Linked DNA regions of Macaca mulatta. The protein of the gene in region 3 purifies or fractionates together with the protein of the main gene of each other region. This does not show direct contact. Links are inferred from orthologs where the notes say so. Each region holds a gene or a part of one and is shown on either strand. Other genes may lie near its edges.

Region 1 (3,518 bases), on a different chromosome or scaffold from region 3:
GCCCCGGTCCTGGCCCTCCCCTTCCCTGACTCCAGGCCTCCCTGAGACTCACGGCTCTGACAATCCTCAGAACTCTCTCCCCAGCAGCGGGAGCCCTTACACACTGGAGAACAGGGGTGGCCTGAGGACAGAACCAGGGAGAGGCAGTGAGAGAGATGTCTAACAGTGAGAGGACGGGTTAATAACGGAGAGAGACACAAACAGCAGCAGAGGCCACGAGGCCAACTGCACAGTGAAGGAGGGACCCAGACAGGCTGAGAGGCCCCCAAACCATAGGCACAGCCTAGAAGCAGAGGAAGACAGGACAGAGAACCCCAGAGATGAAGAGGCACAGAGAGATGGCAGGAGGGACAGAGAGGGAGGAAATGGGTGTAGGCGGCTGGGGCAGTGGCGGGCAGGCACTGGGTTGTAAGTCGGGAGTCTGGGGCTGGGGTCAGGCTGTCTGAGAGAAGAGGCAGCAGGGAGGGGCATGGCTTACAGGCCCGAGAGCGGTTGGTGTCGATCAGTGTGAGAGCCAGCTGGTTGTTCTTATGGAAGATGTCCTTCCACAAAATCGTGTCCTGGTAGCAGAGCTGGGGGTTCCGCTGGATCAAGACCCCTCCTTTCAAGATCTCTGTGGGGTGAGCAATGATCAGGGGACCCTTTCCCCTTCTGTCACCTTCTGCTTCCCTTGGGGCCCTCCTGCCTTCTAAAAGAGGAGCAGGCCTTTTATACAACCCCAGATTCCCCAGGGAGGAGAGAAAGATATCGTCACCGTCTTTGAGCCCCACCACCACCACCCCCGCAACATGAACAAAGCGAGAGCCAGGGAGGAGTGAGTTGTCCATGCTACGTCCAGATGCTCACGTGGACCGCAGCTTTCTCCTTCCCTCTCACCTCTACTCCGGACGTGTTGCTTGGTGGTTAAGAGACCGTGGAGTCTGAAACCCAGCCCCATCACTCACATCTCTGCAAGCCTCAGTTTTCTCATACGTAAAATGAGAATAACACTGATTCTTTCCTGACAGGACTGCAGTGTGACTGAAATGGGCCATGCGGGCAAAGCACCTGGCACCCAGACTCTGGGGCAGAGTCAGCTCCAGGGCCAGCAAACAGTTACATAGGCTGTTCACTGTACACTTCACTCAGCCAAGTGGGGGCAAAAACCCAGCCTGCATTCTCATGATTGAATTCTGTGCGCTGACGTAAGCTGCAGCTTCCTAGGAAGAAGGGGAATCTTTTTCCAGTCTTCTCAGGGTGTCTTCCCAGGCTCTGCCTGCGTCTGCCCAGAAGGGACACCATTTCTAATGCACACAAAGCCTCCCCATGGTTAGCAGTGGCCCTGGTCAGCTCTGAATAACCAAGAGAAGGTTTCAATGACGGCGAAGGCCACCTGTGAGGCTTCGAAGCTGCAGCTCCCGCAGGCCTCCTGGGGAGGCCCCTGTGACAGGGGTGGTATTGTTCAGCGGGTCTCCATTGTCTAGCACGGCCAGGGCATAGTTGTCCTCAAAGAGCTGGGTGCCTCGCACAATCCGCAGCCTCTGCAGTGGGACCTGCCTCACTTGGTTGTGAGCGATGAGCACGTAGCCCTGCACCTCCTGGATATCCTGGAAGGGGGAAGCAGGGTGGGGCTGAAACAGGGACACTGCCACCCCCAGGGCCTCCCTGAGGTTCCCCAGTACTTGGAGATCTTGGGCAAGGCCCCCAGCCACTGAGCAGTCCTGTTCCCTCTTATATAAAACGATAAAATGGAGATAAAGATCACGCCCCACCTTGCCTCACCAGATTCTTATACGATCAAGAAAGATAATGGTGGGGGGGCACTTCGTAAACTCTGAACAGGTACCCCGCCCTCTCTGCATCTCAGTTTCTTCATCAGTGAAAGCAAAGGCCTGGATGGGATGGCGTCTGCAATTTTTTTTTTTTTTTTTTTGAGACGGAGTTTTGCTCTTGTTGCCCAGGCTGGAGTACAATGGCATGATCTCGGCTCACTGCAACCTCCGCCTCCCAGGTTCAAGCGATTCTCCTGCCTCAGCCTTCCCAAGTAGCTGGAATTATAGGCATGTGCTACCACTCCCAGCTAATTTTATATTTTTATTAGAGACGGGGTTTCTCCATGTTGGTCAGGCTGGTGTCGAACTCCCGACCTCAGGTGATCTGTCCACCTCAGCCTCCCAAAGTGCTGGGATTACAGGCGTGAGCCACCGTGCTCAGCCGGCGTCTGCAATTTGACAAACCAAGCACATGGCCCCACTCCAGGGTCCGTGGACACGACCCAGCAGGTTGGTTTCCACTCTCTCCTGCTCATAATCTTTTCATAGACATTTCTCTTTTGAGCTTCACAATTGCTCCCAATATACAGATAGGGAAACTGAGACCCCGTGAAGCTAAGGGGGTGTAGGCCACATTCATAGGGCTCATCAGTGGCAGAACTGGGCCTGTAATCCACCTTTCTCACCAGCCCTTTCTGCTGCTGTAGATGGGAGAAGGATAGTGGCTGGGGCAGGTGGACGGGGGACATGATCATGCTGGCAAGAGAGCACAAGATTTAGCGGAAACACAGACGCATCCCATCCAGAGATGACCTCGGCCAGCCACATTAGAGAGAGAGTCAACTGATTCTGCAGTAAAATGAATGGGGGTTAGACGTTAGAAAGGACTTCCTGGTTGAGAAACCACAACAAAAGAGGAAACAAAGGGCAGGGCACCTTCTTCTGCCACCCACCTGTAAACAGAGGGCTCAGCCCAGCTGGAGGCAGGGCCTGGCTGGGTTGCCCACGGGCCTCACCTGCAGGAAGGAGAGGCTGGCATTGGTGGGCAGGTAGGTGAGTTCCAGGTTACCCTGCACCACCTGGCAGCCCTGGTAGAGGTGGCGGAGCATGTCCAGGTGGGTCTCGGGACTGGCAGGGAGCCGCAGCTTCATGTCTGTGCCGGTGCACACTGGCAGGAGGGAGCAGATGGGTCAGAGGACACGGGCGGGGGACCTTCTTGGACCTGGCCTCCCCACCCAAACTCACTCCCAGAGTCATTTCATCTCAGACAGGGAGAAGGCTGACTGAAGGACCCCTCCGCCGACATCCCTTGCACACTGCAGGTTTAACAGCAGGAGAAAGCTTGTGTGCTTGGGAAGTAGAGGGATTTCAGGGGAAAGGCTCCTTCTGACTAGGCCCACCCTGTGCATCCAGAGGCTGCCCCAGCGTGCCAGCCCTGTGGAGCTCACCCGCCAGTACAGGGTGTTGGCTGGCAAAGAAAGGCTTCCTTTGTCCCAAAGGCACAACTCAGGGCCAAGGGGTAAAAATCCCCCAAGAGAGGCGATGACGAATCCTGAATCTTCTGGATGCCCCCTGCCCCTCTCCCAAGCAAACAAACTCGGTGCATTCTCCCTATGCCATTCCAGCACACCCATGTGCCAACCTCTTGGCAAGGGATCCACACCCCCGCAGTGCCACCCAGAGAGTGGGGAAGGAGGGTCAGCTGGAGTTGTAGCTGGGGCATGGGGCAACCGGGGCCCTGGTCATTGCAGAGACCTCTGGGAGTCT
Region 2 (4,133 bases), on a different chromosome or scaffold from region 3:
TTAGTATGCGTGTTGCAATTATACCAGGGATGCACCCGAGAGTTTTTCTTTGTACGGCCCTTTCATCTGGATCACTTTGTGTTTTGAACAAGTGAGACTCGCCTTTGTGCCCCCAGAATTTCAAGTACAGAGTCACACACGGAACAATGGCACGCTAATCCTCGCGCTCTAAATGGGCTCACTTGTGGGTCTGACAATTCGCCCAACGAAACGAGAAGAGATGAGCGAGGGCGCGAGCTGGTGTCGCCTGAGACGAGGAAGAGGACAGCTGCAGAACTAATTTGGATTACATTCCTTGCAGAAATTCTGAAAAGGGCTTTTCGGCATAGCTCAACCCGGAGCCGCACAGTTAATACCAAATTGCTGCGGACTCGGAGCGGGGTCCCTCAGCGGCAGAGGCTGAACCAGCCAGCCCCCAGTAGGTCGCCTCGTAGAAATTCCTCTCGGCTAAGCCTGCATGTCGGTCGCCACTGCCTTTGAATGGGTCAATGTGTATAATCAACCCATTGAGGGAAAATATGAAGGGACTCGAAGTGGGGAGGGAGATAAAAAGAGATGTATCTAAGAGGCCGCTTGGAATGTCAAGTCCGTGTTGGTGTGATTCCGGGGGTGGCTGGAGCGCGGGACCTGGTATGCGTGAAGAATTTCGGAGTAATTGGGAGGGTGCAAACAGCCAGCACAAAACGCCGCACATGTGCCATTCGAAGGTCATTTTGAAAGCCTCGATGATTGTAACTTGTTGTTTACTAGGCAAAGGAGGCGGCGGCGGCGGGGGCGGAGCGGGAAAACTACAGCTTGCTGTTTCCTTGGTGAGGTCAGAAGGACACCCTCCGGGGGCCTAAAGCGCTCCCTATCGCCACTCCCGGGGGCTTTATCACCTCAAGCTACTTCCCACGCTCCAGTCACCATCCCCGAATGGTTTCAGAAATCTCCCTGGCTCTCCAAAAGGCACCCCTTGGCCGCATCAGACACCGGTCCTCCTCAGACCTCTCCCGTCCCACTTTCATCCCCAGGAAACTCAAGTGTCAGAAACTTTGAGCTTCCTTGCACTGCAGGTGCTGTCATTAGTCCTGCAAGCCTTGGCGCTCCAACCCCGCCGCGCTGCCTCTCGGGGTCAATTAGCCCTTTGCCTGCCCAGGTACCTGGGGCTCGAGCTCTCCAGCAAGCAGTGGCCGCGCACCCGCCGCCGCCGCTTGCGCCTCGGGTGGATCCAGTGACCCGCAGGCTCGGCAGCCCGGCCAGGCAGTAAACAGACAAGTTTGAAGGACTCCGGCCAATAGCAAGTTGAACTACAGGAAGAACTCTTCCAGGAGCCAAACACGGCAACCGACGGGAAGGCCCGGCTTCTGGCTCGAGTGTGCCAAGCCTTTTTTTTTTTTTTTTAAGAGGTCATGCAGGCGAGCAAGCGCCCCTCAAGTCAATGGGGCGAGGGCTCCGGGAAGCAGGCCGAAGAGGCCCAGAGCTCCAGACCCCGGACCGAGGCGCGCCCGCCCGCTGCACTCTTGCTGCCCGGGCTGGGTACGAGTCGCGTCTGACCCCACAAGGCTTGGGCGACTGGGGGCGCAGCGGCCGCCGGCAGCACACACAGGTGCAAAGCCCGGGTCTCTGAGCGCCACTCTCCACCGCCCTTCAGGCTTGGCGCGGGAGAGGCCCAGCCAGCACCTCCCCAGGACCCCGGCCCTCCGCGGCCCCGGCGGTGAGGGTTCCTCCCTCGAGGGACCAGACAGGGACAGGAGAGTCTCCTCTGACTGGGGATTTGGGTCTCCCATGTCCCGAACAACAGGCGCCACCAGAAGGGATCCCGCTTAGGCTCCCACACAAAACGCTCGGGAAAGAAAAACAGGGGGTTAAGGAGAGAAAAAAGAGGGGCTCAGAGTGATTTCTTCACGATAAAGCACAGGCACACATACAGGGTAAGTTTCAAATGGAAAGAGGGGCGACCGAGAGCCCAGGGAAGAAGTCCCGGTCGAGCGGTCCCTCCACGCCTCCCGGGATGGGTGAAGAGGGCGGGGGAGCCACTCAAGGCAGCCCCGCCGGCGGCGGCAGGTTAGGCGACCGGAGCGCCAGAAGGAACCCACCTGACTGAGAATCGCTGGGCTGGACGGTCCCCGCCGCCACGAGAAGGCTCACCCAGACCCAAAGTCCTGTCGCCGGCTTCATTTTTTGGAAGTCTCAGATCCCGTGCTGACAATTACATGTCCAAATGGCATATCCCCCTTTCGGGCACGCGGAGGAGATCCCCCAGCCGGGCGCGCGTGGGGGCGCGAGGGGGGCGGGCGCGGCGCGCGCGGTGTAGCGACTCCCAGGGCGGGCGACCTAGTCCGCGCCCGCGGGTCCAGGGCCGGGGCCCGAAGAGGGGGCGAGTGTGCGTGTGTTGGAGTGTGCTCGGTGTGTGCGCGTGGCGGTCCGGGCCGAACTGTGCAGTTATTTCCCCGCGTGAGCCTTCGCTTGCTCGCTGCCTCCTCACTTTCTCTCTCTCTCACTGGTTGGTCAACAATAAAAAAGGAAGGGGGGCGAAAGGTTTCCAAAAAAAGTTGATTGCAAAGAGGCAGTAGGTTTCCGGCCTCTCCCCGCAGCCGGGCTGTGTTCTGCTCCTTCTTCAGTTTCCTTGCACCTCCAGTCCAAATGGGGAGGGGAGCGGGGCGGGGGGAGCTTCTCGCTTCTCCCCGGATCCCGTCCTTCTTTTTCCTGTCAGCTTTCCTCACACTTGTCCGGCGGCTGCGGTAATTAAAGCTCCGAGCGTCATTTCCAACGCTCCGCGGTCTCCAGCTGCAGCCCACAGAGAAATTAATAAGACTCCAGAAAAAAAAAAAAAAAAGAAAAAAAAAAGGTGGGGGGGGCGGTGGGAATAAAACAACCCTCCACGCAACCAGGCAGGCTCTGCTCAGCCGCGCAAACCCCGCCCATGCTCTGACCCAACTAGCCACGCCCTTCTCCCCCGCCCCCCGCCCCAAAGGGAAATCTCATTGGCTCAGCCACTCCCCAAAATCCTAGGCCTCCGGAGTTGGGAAAACACCTGTCAGGGAGAGGGAGCAGCTTGGTGGGGGCAGGGGAAGCTGGATTTAAAGGGCTCACCGAAGCCATGCACTGAAGCACTCCTCTTCCCTCCCTGGCAGAGGCCTGGGACAGCTGGCCCGCAGAGTGGACAGACCATCGGAGGGGCGCTTACAGAAAAGATTTTTTAAAAAAACAAGTCAGCATTTTCTCCATTGTCCCACGGTGCTTATCTACAGACAGGACTTTCCCTAGAAATAAAAGAAAAGTCAACGTTGCTTTCAGCAAAAAGCCTCCGCCCGCAGCACTCTGCCACTCATGGTCCACAATTAGAAAGTACTTTAAAAGTGTGCACAGTAAGTAACTAGTAGCCCCTGAGGATTAGGTGGTGGTAGGGATATAATCACCGCCCCGCCTCCCGCCCCCAGTTATGCCATCTCTCCGGTTATTCCCACATTTCCAAACTGACCGACATTGAGCCAAACTAAAATTTCACATTTATAAAGCCATACCCTTTGATTTTTAGATTTTATGTTTTTTTCACCTTTGGAGTTCATTCTTATTAAGCAGATTCTAGTCCAAAGCCACTGATTTAATCTTAAAGGGCTAGAAATTGTCTCAACCTGAAAGTATTTAAGGAGGCCACATCAGAACATAATTAACCTTAAATGATTCTGCTTCTTCTACAGTAGACCCAGCTTTAGGCCCTTTCCTTGTCCTCACTCTGCACATTCATGGTCCCTAATCCGGAGGTCATTGCTAGTTATGAAAATCTCTGACCTTTTCTGAATCTAAAATATTCTGGGACTGGGTCATATCAATGTTCATATCCCTTGCCTTTTACAGCTCTGAAACCGCACCCTGGCAAGGACCAGAATCTCCTGGGGGTAGTAAGTTATTAGTTACTATTTGTACAGGCATTCTATGTATGAATCACTTTCCTTTTTTGGTTTTTCTAGAAGCAGCAAATATATAAATAAAAAGTATCAGGGGAGCTTAAAAATCAAACCACCCTGCCTTTCATTTGAGACCTGGATCTCCATTTCCCACTCTCTTATCTATAGCTCCATCCCTTAAGAATTTCCATGGAGCTGAGAACAGATAGGAAATACAGATGCCTGAAGCCTGAAGCTTTCCCT
Region 3 (4,076 bases):
GCCAAAGTTAGAAGCTTTGTAACTATTTTTTCTCCTTTAACCCCGTCCCTTAAGAGTACACTATGGCTTCTTGAAAATCATCTTAAAAAGACTGATTAAAACAAAAACCCAACAACAACAACAACAACAAAGCAACCCCTTAATCAAAGGCTAGAGCTTTTCTAGAAGTACCTTTCAACTCACTAAGGGCTGGGAAGGAGAGTGCACTTTTTTTTTTTTTTTTTTTTGGAGACAGAGTTTCGCTCTGTCACCCAGGCTGAAATTCAGTAACAATTCAGTGACAAGTTTCTGCTCATTGCAGCCTCCGCCTCCGGGGTTCAAGCGGTTCTCCTGTCTCAACATCCCGTAGCTGGGATTACAGGCGTGCACCACCACACCTGGCTAATTTTTGTATTTTTCTTTTTTTAGTACAGACGTAGTTTTACCATGTTGGCCAGGCTGGTCTCGAATTCCTGACCTCAGGTGATCCGCCCTCCTTGGCCTCCCAAACTGCTGTGATTACAGGCGTGAGCCCCCACTCCCAGCCGAGGGTGCACCTTTGAGACTAGGTTTCTGCAGCACACATTCATTTTGGTAATCAAGGACATTATTGCTGGATATAAGACACGAAGAGCAAGTCAGGAGCAGATGTTCCAGGCTGTTCGAGGAGGAAGGTGACCACGCCTCATTAAATAACCAAGGATGTCCCAGTCAGGAACAAGTGTGTTAAGTTTTAAACCTGTGTCTTCGCTCTTGAAAAGCACCTGGAAAATGGACGCGGGTTTGCTTCTAATCTGCAGTCCTGCTTGCAGCCTGAGGAGGACGTAAAAAGCCTCGGGGCCAGACAGCTCCAAAACGGGGGCGTTACCCTCTTAACTTTCTCTCCTCCTCTAGACGCAGAGGGCATATCTTCACGCCTCCTTTCCCCAGCCCACGTCCCTGTTCTCCAACAACAACCTGCATGTCTCCTTTAAGAGGCGGGGGCCGTCCCTCCCTTTCTCCTCCCAGTCTCCCGCCCTTCACACCTTGGGTGGGAAAAGAGTGTGGGGGCGGGGTAGCCGGCAAAGCGGGAGGGGCAGGATCACGAAGAGCGCTCCAATGGCTCTCGAGGCTGGCCACGGTGGACTCCGGCAGCCAATGAGCAGCAGGCGGGGAGGCGTGGCGGGGCGCTGTTGCAAAGCGTCCAACGTGGGCCGGCAGGCGGCCGCGGGGTGCGGAGCCCAGGGGGTGTGTGCGGGAGAGCGGCCGGGGGCGGGGCCTGGGGGACTGGCCGGGGCTGGGCCGCGGGGAGGCAAGCAGCAAGCGGCTGATTGTTCGGCCGCGAGGTCGGCGGGACTCTTGCTGCGCCGAGGAGCCGTGCGGAACCCAAGGCTGCGCGCGCGCTCGCCCTCTGCCCGTGGCGCGCGGACAGCGAGGCGCACGGGGACCTCCTAGCGCGCGCCGTCCAGCCCGGGGTCTACGGCTTTGCGCTCTGAGCCGAGAGGAAGATGCCCGCCGGCAACGAGCTCGGGCTGCGGGGCTGAACGCCTGCCTTCCAGGCGCAGCGGCAGCACTGCCCTCGGCCGGTGTCTGTAGCGGCACTCGGCGTGCGCCGGGCGGACGAGGAGCGCAGCCTGGGTACGCCCTGCCCGAATCGGCAGAGTTCGCAGCGAGCGCGGGCGGGCCGGCCGGCCCGGATGGGCGCGGGGTTTGCGGCCCCCGCCGGGTGCTGCGGAGCGGCCCGGGCACCGGGGGCCCGCTGAGTGCCGGAGCCGCGGCCTCAGAGAGAACTTGGGGCGGGGGCCATGCCCCGGCGCGGAGTCTAGAGCCTAGCGGAGCGCCCCGCGGGCCCGCCCGCGTCTGCGGCCGTTCGGGTCCTCACAGTCCCCGCGCCCGGAGTTCGCAGCGCGCTCCAGACAAGATGGCGCGCCCGGTCCGGGGAGCGCTCGGGGCCCCGCGCCGCTCGCCTTGCCTTCTCCTTCCCTGGCTGCTGCTGCTTCGGCTGGAGCCGGCGACCGCCGCGGCCGGCCCGCGGGCGCCCTGCGCGGCCGCCTGCACTTGCGCTGGGGACTCGGTGGACTGCGGTGGGCGCGGGCTGGCGGCGCTGCCCGGGGACCTGCCCGCCTGGACGCGGAGCCTGTGAGTGCCGCCCTTTCTGCCCTCCTTGCACCCCGGGGCTCTGTCACTCGGGGACGGGGCGGCGGGGGTTCGTACTCAGGGAGGGGGTGTGGACTGGGTTGTATGTATGGAGTTGTGCGTGCTGGAAGACTGTCAGCTTGGGTTGGCGGAGGGGAGACCCTGCGTGGAGGTCCGGGGGAGTAGGCGTGCGAGAGAGCCTGGAGGAGAAGAGCATTCCTGGTGAGGTCTGGAGACGAGCGAGCGTGGGTCGTAGAGGTTTGGGGGTTAGCCAGCACGCGTCGTGCGGGCCGTGTGGGAGTTAGCGAGTGGGAGTCTGGAGCTGAGTGTGTTTGCGTGTGGGTGGGTGGGAAACGTCTGGAGCAGAGTGTGAAGAAGTCTGTGTGGGGGTCTGTGGGTGCGTTTCCTTTTCCTCTCCTGTAATCCAACTCTTTGGTGTCTGAGCTCCTTGGTTTTCCAGTGGGTAATGAATGAAGGTGACTTTTGGCTCCAATCTTTCGGTTACATTATTTATTAGTTGATAGTGTGTGTAGCCGTCTCCTGATCCCCAAAGACCATGGTGGCCTGACTTGCCTCTCTGCGGGGCAGAAGGCAGTCTTTCCCCGAGGACCCCTGAGTTAGAGGGCTTTGACAGTTCCTGGCGACCTGTGAGTGCTGGGAGTTTGTCCTTTTCCGCCTGGTTGGCATACGGAACTGTGTTCCAGACCCTTCCTGTGTGTTCCCTGGGGCCCCATTGGACTTGCTGATCCAGTGGGGTGGGGCCCACCCTCAAGAGTCTCTCCTCCATAAATGGTGCAAATGAGTTTTGGAGTAATGCTGCTTCAGGAGAGGGTGCCGGGGTCTTGGCTGATTTAAGCAATTTGTTTCACCCGAAAGAGGCTCTTTTCTGTGCTGTCAGGATGTGGGCATATTTAGGACTTAGTGGGACACTTCTTACAGGAGATTTGGCAGGAAAAAAAGGCATTAGCCTTCTGTAAACATGGTAGAATAGAATAGCCTTCTTTTACTTCTAAAAAAAATCTGGTCCATGAGTCTAATCCTGTTCAGTTATCGGTAATTAGCATCTCTGTAGAACTATTAGTACCTTTCCAGAAAAGGCCTAGCTTAAATAGTCCGCATTTCGGTTGAATAATTGGACATTTTTCCTAGAACATAGGAAAGGCACAGCAGTAACCTCAGGCATGACTATGGCTGTTTTAAAAAGAGAAAACTGGTGTCACAAGTTGTAACCAGCACCTGTGGCTTGATTGAAGAAAATGTGGCCTGGGTTCTGAAGGGAAGAAAAGTTAATTCCTTTTAAATGCAAAGATTCTGTACCTCTCAAAATGGGGCACGAATCTTTAACTTGGCCCCAGACACTGCTCCATCAACAAGTACTACAGAGTTCTGAAGACGACCAGGACCCTTTAGTTACAGTTAGATTTTCAATATCTACTTCTTCTATGGAATTTACTGAGTTAGTGAAAATCAGTGATCGTAGGGTGGAGGCACAGCTGTGTTAAGTACTGTTAGATAGAGCCCAGTATTGTCCTTAGGTAGTATCTTATTTAGTCTGGGGTATTGTGATTTTTCCCTTATATACGGTAGTTTTTTTTTTAATTGAGTCATGTGGGCAGAATCAGATTAACTTCTTAAGTGTTCACCTGTTGGAAGAGTGACTCCCAATGCCATGTGTCAGTGGCATTGTGGGGAAGGCATTTAGTTCCACAGCAGTAACTTCCCAGAGAGGACAGGGTGTCCTCTTATTTGCACTTTCCTATGGTCACAAGATCCACTTTGCCTTGCCCTTTAATTTTTGGAGCAAACATACTGGTTATTTCTTTAGGCTTTCTGTTGCCCAGGAGTGACATTTCACATGGCATAAATACCTTCAAAATTGAAGTTCTTCTCTTTTACTCACACATTTGATGACTGATAAATACCAAAGTGGGTATTTTGAGCATCAGTAGACTTTAGTATACTGATTATGGTGTTGACTGATT

Evidence for each region.
Region 1: the proteins of LRIG1 (region 3) and ERBB2 purify together in Homo sapiens (co-immunoprecipitation; 4 studies listed by BioGRID and IntAct, with this or other methods). This does not show direct contact. The link is inferred for Macaca mulatta from reciprocal best matches to the Homo sapiens genes LRIG1 and ERBB2.
Region 2: the proteins of LRIG1 (region 3) and ERBB4 purify together in Homo sapiens (affinity purification with western blotting; 3 studies listed by BioGRID and IntAct, with this or other methods). This does not show direct contact. The link is inferred for Macaca mulatta from reciprocal best matches to the Homo sapiens genes LRIG1 and ERBB4.

The regions. Positions count from the first base shown.
Region 1 is NC_133421.1:64,059,984-64,063,501, reverse strand, and holds part of ERBB2 (receptor tyrosine-protein kinase erbB-2), read right to left. Parts: intron 2,920-3,518; coding exon 2,768-2,919; exon of another isoform or gene 2,705-2,767; intron 1,587-2,704; coding exon 1,373-1,586; intron 689-1,372; coding exon of another isoform or gene 614-688; coding exon 479-613; intron 122-478; coding exon 53-121; intron 1-52. UniProt on the Homo sapiens protein: Protein tyrosine kinase that is part of several cell surface receptor complexes, but that apparently needs a coreceptor for ligand binding. Essential component of a neuregulin-receptor complex, although neuregulins do not interact with it alone.
Region 2 is NC_133417.1:117,705,181-117,709,313, forward strand, and holds the start of ERBB4 (receptor tyrosine-protein kinase erbB-4), read right to left. Parts: upstream 2,801-4,133; 5' UTR 2,161-2,800; coding exon 2,079-2,160; intron 1-2,078. UniProt on the Homo sapiens protein: Tyrosine-protein kinase that plays an essential role as cell surface receptor for neuregulins and EGF family members and regulates development of the heart, the central nervous system and the mammary gland, gene transcription, cell proliferation, differentiation, migration and apoptosis.
Region 3 is NC_133407.1:130,049,201-130,053,276, reverse strand, and holds the start of LRIG1 (leucine-rich repeats and immunoglobulin-like domains protein 1), read left to right. Parts: upstream 1-1,276; 5' UTR 1,277-1,879; coding exon 1,880-2,097; intron 2,098-4,076. UniProt on the Homo sapiens protein: Acts as a feedback negative regulator of signaling by receptor tyrosine kinases, through a mechanism that involves enhancement of receptor ubiquitination and accelerated intracellular degradation.